Linked DNA regions of Arabidopsis thaliana. The protein of the gene in region 1 interacts with the protein of each later gene in a pairwise test. Each region holds a gene or a part of one and is shown in the gene's direction. Other genes may lie near its edges.

Region 1 (7,611 bases):
AGCATTGATATTCTACGATTTTAGATAGGTAAGTCCTTTTCCGTGATAATGTGTTTGGTGAGATTAGCAGTATTATCTGCTACAATGTTAACTCAGTCATTGGTCTCTCCTCTCTGGTGAAAACATAAAGCTTTATCCTTCACTGGATCTATCAAATTTCTATTTTGAAAAACTTTCACTTCTAGATCATTTTTAGGAAATATCATATAGACTTGCTACAACATACTGATCTAGCTGAAGATGGATAAACGGGTCAGCTGTCTCTTTGTTTTATTCGTCCACCTTGGCTGATATATTTTGTTTTCATTCATGATTCTAAAAGCTTTGGCAATAAGGTGTTGATTTGTGTTATTGATCCTGCAGTTCAAGTGGTCAATGACTCGACATGGGACTCTCTAGTTCTTAAAGCAACTGGGCCTGTAGTTGTCGACTTTTGGGCACCATGGTGTGGACCTTGCAAGATGATTGATCCGCTTGTAAACGATCTAGCACAGCATTACACTGGGAAGATCAAGTTCTACAAATTAAACACTGATGAATCTCCTAATACTCCCGGCCAGTACGGAGTTAGAAGCATCCCAACGATCATGATCTTTGTCGGTGGCGAGAAGAAGGATACAATCATAGGTGCAGTGCCCAAAACCACACTCACATCTAGCCTCGACAAGTTCTTGCCATGAAATATCACTTGTGGAGTCTGTAAGATCTCGTATCTCTCTGTCTCTCGTTCTTGTTCTCATTATCTCTGTAACTCATTATCACTGAACATCTAGACCTGGATAAATAATATGATGTCATGTCTTATGTCATTTTTACTGGTTTGAAGATGTTTTGAGATGCGGAACTAAAGGTATCAAAGAACAATCTTGGACTAGACTAATGGAACCACATTAAAATGATTCCACCAATCTTTTTTTGGTCATGAGAGAGATCTTAAGATTGTTTGGTTCTGCAAGTTTTTTGATGAACACACGCTAAGGTTTGTTACTTATTCTAAAACTCCTCGTATTAAAAGATATTATGCGACACTCTAATGAATGAGCACATGTATGCAAAAGGGGCTAAAGGTTCATACATGTCCTAATCTAAAGAAAGAATATACGTATTCAGCTGAAAAAGGTCTTTATCGACCACGAGCAAAAGAGAATAAATACGTTCGAAATATCTCCTTATTTTTGCATAAGCAAAGAAATTCATCCACCATAGTTTATGTGTACCCAATTTGTGGATAAGGATATGTCAATTAGGACAAAATGAATAATAGCCGAAAGAATTGAGTTATTTTTGGACTGATCCCACAGTTCCCGACAAGCTTTTGAGGTTTTAGAGTTGTTGATCCGGTCTATGACTAAAGTTCGACCAAAACCAAGTTATTTAGTTTGGACAATATAAATCAGAAATATCAAGAAGATAAATTATATGATTAGTTCATAAAGTTTTAGTTTTAGATTGCCAAGAAAATATTCTAATATATTAGGTCTGAACGAAAGTGTTAAATCTGATGAAACCTCTCTATTGGTAATGTCTTTTTTTTTTTTTTTTGGTTGCCGTCCTTGGTTTGAGAATTATATATTTAGGCTGAAGATAAGGTCAAAAGAAAGATGCAATCCGGTTTTATAATAATAGATCAGTTGGACTTTTATAAATGCATTTTCGTGACTTTTGTTTGTATCAAACAACTTTCATTATAATATTATGATTTGGACTTTGTAAATGGTCTTCTCGTGTCCTTTTGATTGTATCAACTTTCGCGACCTAAGAAGTCACGACGACGTACATAAATGGAACATGAGCATAATGATCAAAATTAGAACAAGTGTGAAATATCGAAACAAAGGCAAGTCAATATCGGACAGCTTCGTACGTGAAACCTAACCCCCACTTGAGGTTCTTAATGTTTTAAAATAAACAAGCGGACAATGTTTTAATCATTTGACCTTCATGAGTGTCGGCCATATTCTCCTACCAAACATGCTGCAGCTTGATTAGATAAATGATAAAACAATAAAACGATAGTTATGTTTTATTCATGTTCTACGATCCTGATATAATTGCTATGATAGTCAATTTTGTTAGAATAAAGATGAAAATACTTGAAGCTTTATTATATTCTTAAATCTTAGTAATAATTAATTAATATGAATCTCTTAAAGTCTTTACTTAAAATATCATTGTTCCCCTATGAAACTTGAAAGTTACACGATAAATGCGCTAATTTCAATCTTTAAGAAACAAATAGCGTATAGTAATACATAATTACAAATATATTGATAGACATCCTAAAACAAAATTAGAAACATGAAGTTGATGATGATCTTCTGGTTATCTAGTTTGACTAGAATGGAATGTTTGTAACACAGAATGTGGCAACGTATTATTATTTTTTGTCAACATGTATATTACTGATGAATATTGCATGTTCATAAGGAGAAACCAAAGACACAAATTATTTTTCGAAAATGTGAAAATGGAAATGATCCACGCCCACGCGTCAGGACTCAGGAGCATTAGTCCGACCAAACCCATAAACTAAAAATTGATTTTATCTTTTATTTTTTTGATCTCAAGATTCGGCTTCTAATTAATAATCGTAAATTACAAGATCAATAAAATATGCTAAAAAAAAGAAGTCCCATAAAGCAAAAGAATGCGTGTCTCGTGAGGTTCTTTATGAGATTGATCGTTGTTACTTGTGAAGAAGCTTCGGCAAAAGCGTGAAGAGAGCCATCTTCTTCGATCTCTCATTAGTCCTTTTGTTCTCTATTCACTCCACCCAATCACCGATTGTTTCTTACTTTATTAGTTTAGTTTTACTAGTTTATTACGTTAACATAAATTTATTAGTTTAGATTTACTACTTTATAACGTTAGTTTAGCGTTAAGCCACAATGGACCTTGGCACGGCACTGACATTGACATATATGAGTTGGTTAGATAGAGCTGCGGCGATCGCATTTTGTTAATCTTCACAAAGTTTTGACTTGTTATTATGCTGCATTTATATTTTGGTTACAATTTTGTGTTCTTTCTAAAAATTATATGTGAAAACATGAATGTGGGTGAATACAATGCACCTAAAGAAAGTGGTATGACATTTGTGACACGACCGTTACACATAATAAAGGGTTTTCTTTATTGTTCAACTAAGTTAGTTAAGAAACAATAATAGTTTTTGTGATACAATTAATCTCTATTTATAGAGTTTACCATTACGTATCGTATACTACTCACTCACTCTAAATCCATTAGTAACGTATCTTATCTTAGTTAAATAAGTAAATTTGTTTTTGACAATCTTAAGTATGTAAAAAAAGGATTAATGTAAAAAAAAGTATAGCAAAGAGAGATAATAGCTTTTGTTTAGGATAATGTATAATTAAATAAACATTTTTGTTTGTCAAATATAGGTAAATATTTGGGGTCAAATATGCACCAAAGGATTCGAAATTTAGGATATTTATGGATAGTGTGAATTTGGAAATATGTTTTCCAACATTGTTTGATTGCATTTGAATGTTGTCTAACGTTCTACTGCTAAATCCATGACGGATCTCATATTGGATACTCGATTTTTTTTTTTCTATTATCAAATTAATCGTATATGAGTATAATATTTAATTAAATATTTAATTGGCCTATAAACCTCAGGCGTATCATTTTTTTTTTGTTTTGAACTTTGAAGTACAAGTTAAAAGAGATAAGCTCTCTAAAATAAGTAAATACAAAACTCTGACGAATCTTTCACATCGCCACGTCATGAAGATATCATTGCGTTCTCAACTTCGAGGCTTAATAATAATATCTTATTTTTTTCCGGATAGTATTTCTCTGATAATCAAATGTGTATAAATGAAATCTCTTTCTTCTTTAGAATTACTGTTTCTCTCCGCTACAAATACCAGATTTTTCTCTCTCTCGTCGAAAGCAAAACAGTCTCCTTTCTCTATCTTCTGCTCATATCAGCCATTGACACAGTTGCTTTGGGTTTCCCTCAAACGGCGCCGATTGTCTGGTTCGTCTCCCTAAATCTCTCTTCATAGCTCCTATATACGTGCCTTTGCGTATGTATAGGTGTTTTCTCATCTCTGTGACTATCTATATTCGCCGGCAAAATTTCTCGGTCTGTTGATTTTGATTTTTTTCTCTGTACCATTTAGATTTGAATTGGTGTTGAATTTTCCTTGAGGTGATGAGTTTGTTGTCTCTCTGTTTCTGCTAAAGTCTTTCTCTAATCATTCTCTTTCTTGGGTTTCGATAAATTTCTCGAATTTGTAAGCTAAACTTAATCCGACGATGATCAATGGAAAATTTGGATGATTGGTTATGAGTTTTCGGAAGATTCTAACTTTCAATCCCAAGTTTTTATGGGTCGTTTTTAATTTCATCTGTTTCCAAAATTTCAAATTTTAGGGTTCTTCGATAATATAGGGTTTTAGATTTTCTGGATTTTTTAAAATCTTTTGCATTTTTTCTGATTAACCTAATTCTCATCTGGATAAAAATAGGCTATCTTTGTGTGTTTCACTTGTAAATCTTATAATATATTGCATTCAATCTGGATCTAATGTTGGGGAAATAAACACATTTTTTTTTCAGGATTTTGACCACTGATGGCCTTAGATCAATCTTTTGAAGATGCTGCTTTACTTGGAGAACTCTATGGAGAAGGTGCATTTTGTTTCAAGAGCAAGAAACCTGAACCCATTACAGTCTCGGTTCCTTCTGATGATACTGATGATTCGAATTTTGACTGCAATATTTGCTTAGACTCGGTGCAAGAACCTGTTGTGACTCTCTGTGGTCACCTCTTTTGCTGGCCTTGTATTCACAAATGGCTTGATGTACAGAGCTTCTCAACAAGTGATGAATACCAAAGACATAGACAGTGTCCTGTTTGTAAATCTAAAGTTTCTCATTCTACTTTGGTTCCTTTGTATGGTAGAGGCCGTTGTACTACTCAGGAGGAAGGTAAAAACAGTGTGCCTAAAAGACCCGTAGGACCGGTTTATCGGCTTGAAATGCCGAATTCACCTTATGCAAGTACTGATCTGCGGTTATCACAACGGGTTCATTTCAATAGCCCACAGGAAGGTTACTACCCTGTCTCAGGGGTGATGAGCTCGAACAGTTTATCATACTCTGCTGTTTTGGATCCGGTGATGGTGATGGTTGGAGAAATGGTAGCTACGAGGTTGTTTGGAACACGAGTGATGGATAGATTTGCGTATCCGGACACTTACAATCTCGCAGGGACTAGCGGGCCGAGGATGAGAAGGCGGATAATGCAGGCAGATAAATCGCTGGGAAGAATCTTCTTCTTCTTTATGTGTTGTGTTGTTCTGTGTCTTCTCTTGTTTTAGGTTTTCATAGCTAGCTTGGTTCTGCTACTGTTCAGTTTCTTCAGGTGTAAGGAAAACATAGTCAAAGAAATGTACATTTGTGTTGGAAACAAATCAAAGTTGCTTAATGTTGAGGAATGAGGAGTTTATGTTGGGTTAAATCTTGTGTAGATTTGGTCTGGAGGATAGTGTTGTCTACATGAAAGGCCAAACTAATAGGCCTGATCTGCATGTGTTTGTATAGTTCAGCCCATGTGTAGAAAGATAAGAACTAGGCTTTCCAGACACATGGTACTGAATCACTGATAGTGATCCATTCCATAATCTTCCAGCACTATTGTATTATTGTTTTTCTATTTGTTTCATTAAAGATTGTATGTCGATAAAAGGGCCTGCATTAAGAGAGTCTCTCTTTAGTCAAGCTTCAGCAACTCTTCTTGTCTGTCTGATATCCTTCTCCACTCGGTCAGCCTCTCTTCCTTGTTTAGTCAAGTTTCAGTCAGAAGTCGAGCTGTCTTTTCTTTTTTGAACTATTTGTGTAATGATTTATAACTTTAGATGGAGCTTATCTAGATAGAATTGAGGCACAAAGGGCAACAAACGTGCATGTCTCGTGACCAACTGAGACGAAGATCCTTCCCTATGAATCTGATAAACAACAGCTTATGCTCACTCAATTCACAAGATTCCCTTCAAGCTGGAGGAGACTCTGTGGCAGAGTTCTTTATCAATCTCAGGTTTACCGATATTTTTGACCTTCCTGGTGAATATTTTCAAATGATTCCAGAGATGTTTAGCGCACTGAGTGATGGGGACAAAGAATGGCTTGGGAAATTGAGAAGCCATGGAACACTGCTGCCTGCTGGCATGTTTCAAGAACGATCGAGGAGATTATATTCTTCGTCTTGCTGCTACATGGGGTCTGGAACGAGTGAAGAGCATTGTCTCACTCTTTCCATGTCTTCTATTGGAGCCAAACTCAAAGGCTCAGCTTACAATCCATGTGGAGGCTCGTGCGGGTCAGTCAACTATTGTTGAGGCTCTTGCTAGGATAATAACATTTGAATCAGCTACACTATCTGATGGAGAAGAGAGGGGGAGGTTGAATCTATATATTCTCAAAGACATAGGTTGAAAACCATGAAGCTTACAAGACCATCGGTGCCATTAGACCATGGAGGAATACTCTTTTCCTTCAATAGCAAAGAAATATTAAATTAGCCGCTATGGTTTGGACTTTGAAGCGTCTGTAACCTTAAGTCCTGAACTATGGGTATTTATCGATTAACACGTTAACATCCAGAATAAAATATACATGGTTACAATTTTATTAGAAAAACAGAAAGCTATAACTTCATTCATCTGATGCAGTGTACACATCAACAATATTTTTGTTGTCACCAGCAGCCAAAAGCTTAAGGAAATAGGGATAGTAGAAAATGTGTCGAAGAAGGGGTTGGGCATGAGCATATGGAGACACATAAGGAACAAGGAGCAGCAACAAAACCAATAGGAAGATGATTCCAATACCCAAAACGAAATAACCAAGCAAGGGGAGATGGCTTACCGCAACATACGTGCCAGCCATAAATGCTATTGACATTGATGTAAGAGCAAGTCCGAGAAATGGAAGTGCTATGTTGAAGGCTTTGAGTATGATAGAAAGATCACCGAGTTGTGCCCAAATGAGAGCAACTATTGTTATGATAGAAGAGTACATTGCCAATGTGTCGCATACAAGAAAGACTTGAAAAGCCGTTCTCTTGGCCAAAACGGCCATTCCCAAGTGGGGAAAAGAGTCGTTGTACCCACCAGGTAATGTGAATCCTGCAGTGAAAGTCATAGTGGCTACTAGAGTTGCAACCAACATAAGAGTATTGACTCGATCTTTGTACTTTCCACCATCTGGCTTCTTGAATGATCTAAGATTTTCTGTAATTGGAGTAGAACTTTTTGGTGCACCAGCATTGATCAAAGCCATCCAAGTCAATCTCTGTATATACACACATAAGGATTATTATGGAAAAGTTTATACAAAGTAATATTAGGAGCAAAAACGACTTTTAGCATGTGCAACTAGAATTTTCAAATTGATTAATGGTTTTACTATAACCTTCAAATAAGTTGAGACAGCCCTCATAGGGAGAGACATCTTGTCACATTACCTGGTGAACTATGTAGCTCGAATCAATGTTCTCCTCAGCAACATCTAAAGCTGTGAAACCAATGTAGTTTCTTTTTTTCAGGTCAACTCTATGGTCCCAAGTAAACA
Region 2 (8,798 bases), on another chromosome or scaffold:
GGTTCAATTCTTTTCCTTGTCCTATGTCAAGCCTACATGTCCAAAGTTGGACGTTAGCTCGTAAATTTGTACGCTTGATACTATCATACTTTTGATTGTGTAATAGCAATCTTACCAGTAGAAAAAGGGTTGTTTACTGTCACAGTGGAGCCAAGCATGATAATAGAATTGCAGATTGTGGCCATATCGATGTCGAGGATCAATCTGTTAAGCTAGAAAATTAAGATCACATGGCTTTACACAAAACTTATAGCCACAGAGAAAGACAAATTGTAAAAGAATATTCTTACTGCCTCAAGCCAGTGCTGCAAAGCCAACTTCCTAGCTTTCTCGTCCTTTGATAAGCCTTTACCAACCTTAGGGATAAAAATGGTCAAATCATTATATAAAGACTGGAGCAATGGGAACGAAAACGGGTGCATCAAACCAACATAGTTGATAGGCTTGATGTTACCTTAGCAGCTCTTGTTCTTGCTCTAGACCAGCGTGAAACTGCAGTCTCTTGCTTCTCAATTTCAAAAAACGATATAGAACTTCTTTTAAGTTCAGCAAAGTCAAGTACCTTCCACCTGCAAATTCCATTTAGTTACTACTAAACAGATAATTTTATCCTCTCTATATATACCAATGCCAATAATCATAACACCACGAACCATCTTTGCTCAACGACTACAGCACAATCAGCTAGCCTTCTTCTGGTTCGAAAACTTCTATAAACTTTCTGTAACTTTAATGCAGCTTGATATGTTCCATCACCTAATAACAAGGCTAAAAATTCTTTTGCATGTTCGTTTTCGCAAACAGGTTTCCATATCCGCATTTTATATCTATCATCTTCTTTCATAAAAGTTAAAGGTTTAATAGAGAAATTGTTCTCCACATCTCCTGGAGAAATTCTTGATCGTTGTGTCCCTTTACCGCTAAGGGATCTGTTGTATAGCGTCTTTCTAGCTTCAGGTGATTCAGTTATGGTTGAATCCGAGTCAATGTCATTAAAACTGATTGATCGAAGAATGGTCTTTGTCTCTGCACAATCAATACAAATATGCCTCAGATCAAAATGCCTTCAAATAAACGTTCATAGAAGTTGTCACAAATACTAACCCATTTTCACTTGAAACCAGATTCAAGCAGTTCCTTATTATGTCCTGAAAATGTCAAATATCCAAATTCCATCATTGAGACATTACATCGAATCACCAAAAACATAGAAAGGGTGAAGAAGAAGAAGCAGAACCTGGAAGTCAAACAAAACCCATGAGACGAAATGAAACAGAGAAGAGATTCTTTTAATGGAAGAAAACAACAGAGCCAAAAAGGAAATGAGGAGGCTTTGAATGGGTCTAGGATTAGATGGGAACGTGAGAGAGAACGATAATGGCGGCCATTTCTGATTTAAGAGATTCTCATGAAATCTCAATCTCTCAATGATGCAAATCTGTTCCATTGGCTGGGAGAAAAATAGAGTCCTCTGTTCCACGATCGCTCTGTTATTTTTGTTGGCTCCTCCTCAGTTTATCCTAATTTTGGCGTCAATGTTTCGCTTTTAAAACTAGGTCCCTATAAAAATTCAAACTTCCTATGTTAACCCAGAAAATAAAACATTATCAATTTGACCCAAACAAAAATCATAAGAAAATCTTCAATTTTTAATAATTTCCCTAAAGTACCATTAAAAAAAATCACAGAAGCTAATTATGGGATTTCTACTGTTTTCTAATTCATAACAATATATACTGTAAATAGTTTACCAATCAAAGACACTAAAAACAATTCATGTCTTCAATAGAAAACATTCAAAAGTTGGGGACTTTTTATGAAAATTCTGTATAAACGCAAGCAGAACCAAAGCCCTAGCCCTCTCTAATTCGCTGTGTCCGTTAAGTCCTCTCTTTTCCGAAGGATCTGACTTTATCCCGGAATTCTGACGCCGAAGCTTAAATGGAAAAAGAAGATGAGCTCCAGAAGTTAAACGGTCAAGTTTCAGCTCCACGAGACGGAGATGTAGAAGATGACGATCCACTAGTGTTGAGTTCTCAAGCTTTGGCGGCGCTTCGGGAATTTCTAGCAGACCAGAACAAGACTGTTGCGAGCACGCCACCGGCGTCTTCCGTCGCCGGAGGAGAAGAATCCGATAAAGTGGAGCTGGTTACGGAGGATTGGAGACTCAGCCAGTTCTGGTACGAACCTGAAACTGCAGAGACTGTAGCAGATGAAGTGGTCACTCTCTCTCAAAGAATTCCAGGCTGCAGAGTCGCTTGCATTGCTTGCCCTACTCTCTACGTTTATCTCAAGGTACTATTAATCAGTTTTGTTCAGTACCCTTAATTTGTATCGAATCCGTTTTGCTAAAAATCGATACTTTTGTTGTCGTTGATGCTAAATTTCTGTGCGACGGGTTTTGATTTGTGCTGAGTCAGAAAAGAGATCCTAGTCTTCAGGTGCAATTGCTGGAGTACGATATGAGATTCGAGAGATATGGAAAAGAGTTCACTTTCTATGATTACAACGAACCAGAAGATCTGCCGCTTCAGCTGAAACATTGCTTCCATATAATCGTTGCAGATCCTCCCTACTTGGTAAAGTTTCTTCAAGTTCTTAACTTTTCCGATGCTGTTCTTTCATGGGAATTTTGGAAATCTTTTAGCTGCCCCTTGATAGATAGGTTTAGAGACTGATGTGTAATCTGCTCTGAACTTCTGACATTCAAGAAGCTTCTGCTAGATAGGCATTGCTTATAAATTAATCTTCTTTTAAAAGATTATAGAAAGTCCAAAAGCAGACAAGATGAAAGAAAAAAAGTGTAAGCTTTACAATGGAGTATCAGTTGGTTATGGTCATGGCTTAGTGTCACTTCTTAAAGATGGATACTTTGTGGCTCTCTGCTGCGTTTTGATTATCATTTGAAATATTTCCCGGGTAGGAGTATTTGTGACTTGTGAGGATATCATTAATCTGTGATGTTTTTGTGTGCTATATTGCTTGCTATCTTCAAAGCATAAATGTCTTTGAGTACCTTCTAGTTAGCGTGTTAATGATCTTGATTCGTTTATGCTTGGCAGAGTAGGGAATGCCTGGAAAGAGTTAGTCAAACAATTTTGTTCCTCGCAAGCCCAGTAGATTCATTGTTGCTTCTTCTCACAGGTACAATGGGTACTTTTGTTTTCTCAAGTCAAATTTATATGATCTTATGATTTATTAACTAGGAGATATCTCACGTCTTGCAGGAGAGGTGCAAAGAGAACATGCAGCTGAGCTATTGGGTGTTCGCCCTTGTGTGTTTAAGCCTCATCACTCTAGCAAACTCGGAAACGAGTTCCGACTGTTTATAAGTTATGATCCAGGTACCAGATTAGGAGGCTTGGAAGAAGACAGCTAGTTGTGACTTGCTTGTAAGTTGCTTCTCTAAAGTCTTTTGACTGTTCTTGAGTAAACCAGTGATTGTTCTTTTACCCTTCTGATCACAAAAAGCAATGTGCTTAAATCCATCTCACGCGTTCACGTCATCCCCTTTTGCTGTTCATGTAGTTGCTGTTAATTTCTTATGACGATGCGCCTTAACCAATCTCAGGTGTCTGGCATTTCAAGCCCTTATCCTCTAGCAGCGGAGGAACATTTGTGGCAGGGAACACTCATCGGCTCATGTGTGTTGGATATTTTTCATCAATGTTCTCTTGGTGACCTCACTTTGTTCAATCGTTCTCTGTATCTTGTTGCAACCGCAGATCTCAAGTCTGATATACTTTTACATTATTATCAAAATCTCAACATATTTACCAAAATGATTTATTGCATCATGAATCAACATGACATACGGAATTAGCTCATCACAAAAAATTATTCAATCCGTTGCAACTTTATAATTTGCGAGGAAGAGATGAAATATTGATGTTTGCTCTCAGCGAATAAAAAGTTTTTGGTCCGACCCGGTTCTACAAACTTTACCAGAATCAAAGTGCTAAACCGGGCGAAGAAGTTAAGATCTCGAGAAGAGTCTTTTACGGTGGGAGAGAAACGAGAGTTGTTCGTCTTCTTCCATGGTCATTGAAATTCAAACACACGCAAGCATCAGAGAAGAGGACTGATTCGCGACTTCGATTATGAGGCCGAACATTGTTACCGAGGTGAGATCTGTTCAATTTTCTGCTCTGATTGCTTATATTCCTTGATCTTAGTCAGAAATTGTTGAGGTTTTAGCTTGTTTAATTACCGAGAAACTCCTAGTGAGAACGAGCTATGGCTGATAGCAGAAATCAGTACGACCGTCTCTTAATTCGGTAGAGTTAACTAATTAGCAGTTCAATTCGGCATAACTTCAGTTTCATGGCCAATCGTTCGTTGTAGAAAGTAGAAACATTCTCTTCATAAAATAGGTTATAGCAGCCTCTGTTTGTGTTGTTTCATTAGTTCTTCAAGTTTTAGGTATAATAATACAATTTCACCATTCTATTATACAACTGTGACTCTGGATCATACTTTTGTTTGAAGATTTCTGAAATTATTCATAAGGTTGAATATTATTAGAAGGTTTCTATGTCCAACCAAGTAGATAATCGGCACAATGTTTAGATATAAGCCTATAAACTGGTAAAGGTCTTGTTTCTGGTTAGTTATGTATTCTTTATTTTCTCATAGGCTGGGGTTCAAACTCGAGTTGGACAGTGGTGGAATGCCATACCTTTCCTCACGTCATCGGTGGTGGTAGTTTGTGGGGTCATTTACCTGATATGCCTCTTAACTGGATATGACACTTTTTATGAAGTATGCTTCTTACCCTCGGCAATCATATCGAGGTTCCAAGGTATGTTCTCATATTTATTGAGGCTTGCATGTCATGTAGAAGATATTCCTATTGGCACTAAAACTTACATTTCCAAAGTTATTTCGTCTTGCAAACTGGTAATTTTAAATTCAGATGCCTGAGCTGTCCTGATTTTTTTTGTTTCCTCTTGTTCACTCGTTTCTCGTTATCTGTGCAGTTTATAGGTTTTATACAGCCATTATTTTCCATGGATCACTGCTTCATGTTCTGTTCAACATGATGGCATTGGTTCCTATGGGCTCTGAGCTGGAGAGAATCATGGGATCTGTCCGTTTGCTTTACCTAACAGTTTTGCTGGCAACGACCAATGCCGTATTGCATCTTCTTATAGCATCCTTGGCGGGATATAATCCCTTCTACCAATATGATCATCTCATGAATGAATGCGCCATTGGATTTTCTGGAATCTTGTTTTCTATGATTGTCATAGAGACAAGTCTCAGTGGAGTTACCTCTAGAAGGTAAGAATTTTCAAGGGCTACTTAAATGATTTAGACTCTGGAAGATCAAAGTGCAAGTAAATATGAGCTTCTTGTTAGAATTCAGATACATTCTCTCCAAACATGTTAATGCTACACATGTCTGTACACATATTAATAAGATATGCGTTTAATGTCCTCTGAATGTGGGCTATTTTTTGCCAACTCTTTGTATTCATGAAGCATCTCATATTTCTTCATTTGCTACTTTATTTCTCTGTGCAGTGTGTTTGGTCTCTTCAACGTTCCCGCTAAACTGTAAGCTCCATTGTCTTGCTTGTTGGCATCTTAATGCCCACCTGCATTTCTTGTTGCTCATATGATGTAAAAGTTTGTATCCATGTGTAGGTATCCGTGGATCTTACTAATAGTATTCCAGCTTCTCATGACAAATGTTTCACTGCTTGGGCATCTATGCGGCATCCTGTCTGGATTTTCATGTATGATTATTGACCTTTTTCATTGTCATCTTCTTTCTAAACCTGCATTTTCATGGGGAGCTAATTTGTTAGTCGCTTTGGATTTCAGATTCTTATGGCCTCTTCAATTTCTTGATGCCTGGCTCTTCATTTTTTACCACCATTGAGTCAGCCTCCTGGATGGTAAGTACTAAGTACTTAAGAAGATCTGGCTTCTTGATGTTTCCTTTTCTTTGTTAATTGAGAGGCCATCGAGGATTTAAAACTCATGCAGATCTGGCTTCTTGATGTTGCTCTCTGAGTTAATCGTAACTCATCCAGTTTCTATGTCCTCTTCCAGTCTAGCTTCATTAGGCGACCCAAGTTCATTATGTGTACTGGCGGGAATCCTTCCAGCTATATTCCCACTTATTCTGCACAAAACACAACATCCAGGTGTGGTTTCCTAAGAACATATGAAAAACTGGACTGTTTGCCCAGAGAATATCCTAACGACATTTTTTCTTTGACCAGTGGTTTCTCTACAGGAAATGCTTGGAGATCCTTGTCTTCATGGTTGCCACAGAGGGAAGCATCTAATCAGGTACGTTCATGCTAATCTTGTTAGTTTCTTTTCTTTACCATGGTGGATGCATTCACATCTAACCATATTACTTCACATGCAGTCTTCTGAGGACAGTAGATTTCCGGGGAGAGGTAGAACTCTTAGCACTGCCCGAGATCCTACTGCTCCAGCTGGAGAAACAGACCCAAACCTCCATGCTAGACTGCTGGAAGATAGCAGCTCTCCAGACCGCCTTTCTGATGCAACTGTCAACACCGTGGCAGATTCAAGGTATTTGATTTCTTCAGCTTATGATTTATCAGCTTATTACGCCATTCTTCAACCTCACCCTCATGTCTCACCGTGTGTAGACAAGCGCCAATAGCTAATGCAGCAGTCCTGCCCCAATCCCAGGTTACTTTTCTTCTCTAAGATATTCGGCTCAGACCCAGACCCTTGTACAGCTTCTAGAAGCTTTTCTCTTATTGAGCTGTTAAAACACAGGGTCGTGTTGCTGCTTCCGAAGAACAAATCCAGAAACTCGTAGCCATGGGCTTTGACAGGGTACGTTTCTTGCTTCATACCAACGTTAACTAAAACAATAGTAAATAGATGGCTTAAAGTCTCTGGATTTTCTTCAGACACAAGTGGAAGTGGCGCTTGCTGCTGCCGACGATGATCTCACCGTAGCAGTGGAGATCCTAATGAGCCAACAGGTATAAACTTTTCCGAACTAGAGTTCTATTAACTCATTTTTAGAGTTTAGGCACTACTAACAACGAAACCACTGTGATCAAACTTGCAGGCTTAACACCAACAACTCGCAAAGTACTGTTTTGGCTTGTATTGTAACGTTTGTTTCTCATTCTGTCTTTTACTTGCATTTAGAAACTGTATAGCGTCTGTTTTCTTTAAGGAGGTTCTTTAACCAGACGATCAAACCGATTTTCCGGTTTAGAATCTAATACAAACGAAAGATCAGTTGAAATTTTCTTTTTTTGCAAAATCTCTCTACGTAGAACTTTACTTTGCAAAAGTAAACTTGTTTATTGGCGGCACACTTTTTTTTCTTCTCTACGGAGTACAAACGGAATGAAACAGAAGCTATTATAACATGGTTTCCTTCCTCACTTGCTCTTGTGTTCCTTCGTGTTACTAGTTGAGGTTTCTCTAGGCGGTCGCACAATGAGAATTGGACATTTTGCATGTTGGGCACAGTAGTCACTTACACTCCCTAAAAATGCCCTGTATATCTCAAACACCAGGAATGAATGAATAGTCACAACCAGAAATCTCAATTTGTTGTTAGACCTTAGACCAAAAATGAAACTTGTACCTTTTGATCATGCCGAGTCCACGGCTACCAACAACAAGAAGATCAACATGTGTTTGCTCGACGGCTTGGCATATCATCTCCTTAGGATCTCCTTCCAATATCATAGTCTCTGTCTTCACCTACAACATAAAACCATAAACTCAAGAGACAGAGAAGATCACTGATAAACCTAAACTCTTATGAAACCTTGATAAACCTAAACTGAAAGTAAACTTCATAGACCCTAAACTTATTGTATTTTTGAAATTTTTTCCAAACTTGTAGTATGTTGAAAGTTGAAACTAGACATGTCTTGATGGTAATTTTTAGGAAATTATTTCACACATATAGCGCACCATTTTGCCTCGGCATATCTCCAATGCCCGTGTGAATAAGTTTGTCGTACTCTCTTCTCGTGCTTTCCTCATTGGTTCGGGCACTGAATCTGTCGCATACACCGCCGAAGCTAAGAATTTCCAAACTCACTCAATATTGTATACAGTCACATCCCATATAATATATATATACGCATAGAGAATAAAAGAAAGAGAGAAGCGTTTTTTTCTTCACCAGTTCCACCAGAAGGATAGATATATTGAAGGTACGTTGGGTGAACATGAAGCAACGTAAGTAAACCGCCTTCTTGACCGGTTTCCGGTTCGGCACTAATAACAACTCTGAGATGATCCACAGCCCATTCCAACGCATCGAAGCTGTTCTTGCTCTCATCAATCGCAACCATCACTTTCAACTTCTTCTTGTTCTTATTTGCAGCCGTCTCCGCCGTCGTTGTTGTGGCTGCCGTGTCCTCTCCAATCGCATCAACGTAAGTCTCCATTTTTTACTCCGTACGTTTTCTCTATCGTATGTTTTTTTTGTTCGGCTCCAGCCACTTTTTGATATGTATAATAATTTAGATCGTACCATACGTTACGTAATGCTAGTGTGTGATTGAGTAGGTGGAAGATGAAGAGTGTTAACAGATGTTTAAGATGGATACTGGATTGACACGTCACCTGTGTCATAGACACGTGTCTTTCTTTCAACATAGACAACTGTTTATTTTGAATATCCAGAAAAGGCTTTTGGTTTAGAATCGAGTTTGGTTCAATTTTACGGTTTCGTTCTGCTCAGAAAAAGATAAACCCAAAACGAACCGATTTAAATTCGGTTTGAATTAGCTTAAATCAAGTTTTGAGAAGGCAGAGTTGTCAGCCTC

The links. Proteins that work in one complex are often made in the same cells at the same time.
Region 2: the proteins of RMA1 (region 1) and RBL15 interact in a two-hybrid assay, tested with the Arabidopsis thaliana proteins (one large-scale study listed by BioGRID).

The regions. Positions count from the first base shown.
Region 1 is NC_003075.7:1,555,654-1,563,264, reverse strand, and holds RMA1 (RING membrane-anchor 1), read left to right. Parts: upstream 1-3,836; 5' UTR 3,837-4,012; exon of another isoform or gene 4,013-4,596; 5' UTR 4,597-4,610; coding exon 4,611-5,360; 3' UTR 5,361-5,804; exon of another isoform or gene 5,805-5,897; 3' UTR 5,898-5,945; downstream 5,946-7,611. Other genes in the region: ATHM2 (Thioredoxin superfamily protein), read left to right, coding at 364-680; AT4G03505 (uncharacterized protein), read left to right, coding at 5,946-6,377; AT4G03500 (Ankyrin repeat family protein), read right to left, coding at 6,694-7,332, 7,505-7,611. UniProt on the Arabidopsis thaliana protein: E3 ubiquitin-protein ligase that promotes the ubiquitination and proteasomal degradation of aquaporin PIP2-1. Forms a ubiquitin ligase complex in cooperation with the E2 enzymes UCB8/UCB10.
Region 2 is NC_003074.8:21,621,651-21,630,448, reverse strand, and holds RBL15 (RHOMBOID-like protein 15), read left to right. Parts: upstream 1-3,747; 5' UTR 3,748-3,806; coding exon 3,807-3,848; exon of another isoform or gene 3,849-3,976; coding exon 3,977-4,027; exon of another isoform or gene 4,028-4,100; coding exon of another isoform or gene 4,101-4,124; intron 4,125-4,635; coding exon 4,636-4,801; intron 4,802-4,979; coding exon 4,980-5,283; intron 5,284-5,526; coding exon 5,527-5,559; intron 5,560-5,649; coding exon 5,650-5,741; intron 5,742-5,829; coding exon 5,830-5,903; intron 5,904-6,060; coding exon 6,061-6,155; intron 6,156-6,233; coding exon 6,234-6,303; intron 6,304-6,385; coding exon 6,386-6,555; intron 6,556-6,635; coding exon 6,636-6,678; intron 6,679-6,768; coding exon 6,769-6,828; intron 6,829-6,905; coding exon 6,906-6,980; intron 6,981-7,069; coding exon 7,070-7,075; 3' UTR 7,076-7,247; downstream 7,248-8,798. Other genes in the region: AT3G58480 (calmodulin-binding family protein), read right to left, coding at 1-32, 116-204, 291-356, 455-569, 654-1,026, 1,105-1,108; AT3G58470 (nucleic acid binding / methyltransferase), read left to right, coding at 1,942-2,295, 2,421-2,579, 3,063-3,144, 3,228-3,379; AT3G58450 (Adenine nucleotide alpha hydrolases-like superfamily protein), read right to left, coding at 7,392-7,509, 7,601-7,719, 7,936-8,045, 8,150-8,417. UniProt on the Arabidopsis thaliana protein: Probable rhomboid-type serine protease that catalyzes intramembrane proteolysis. May function in senescence.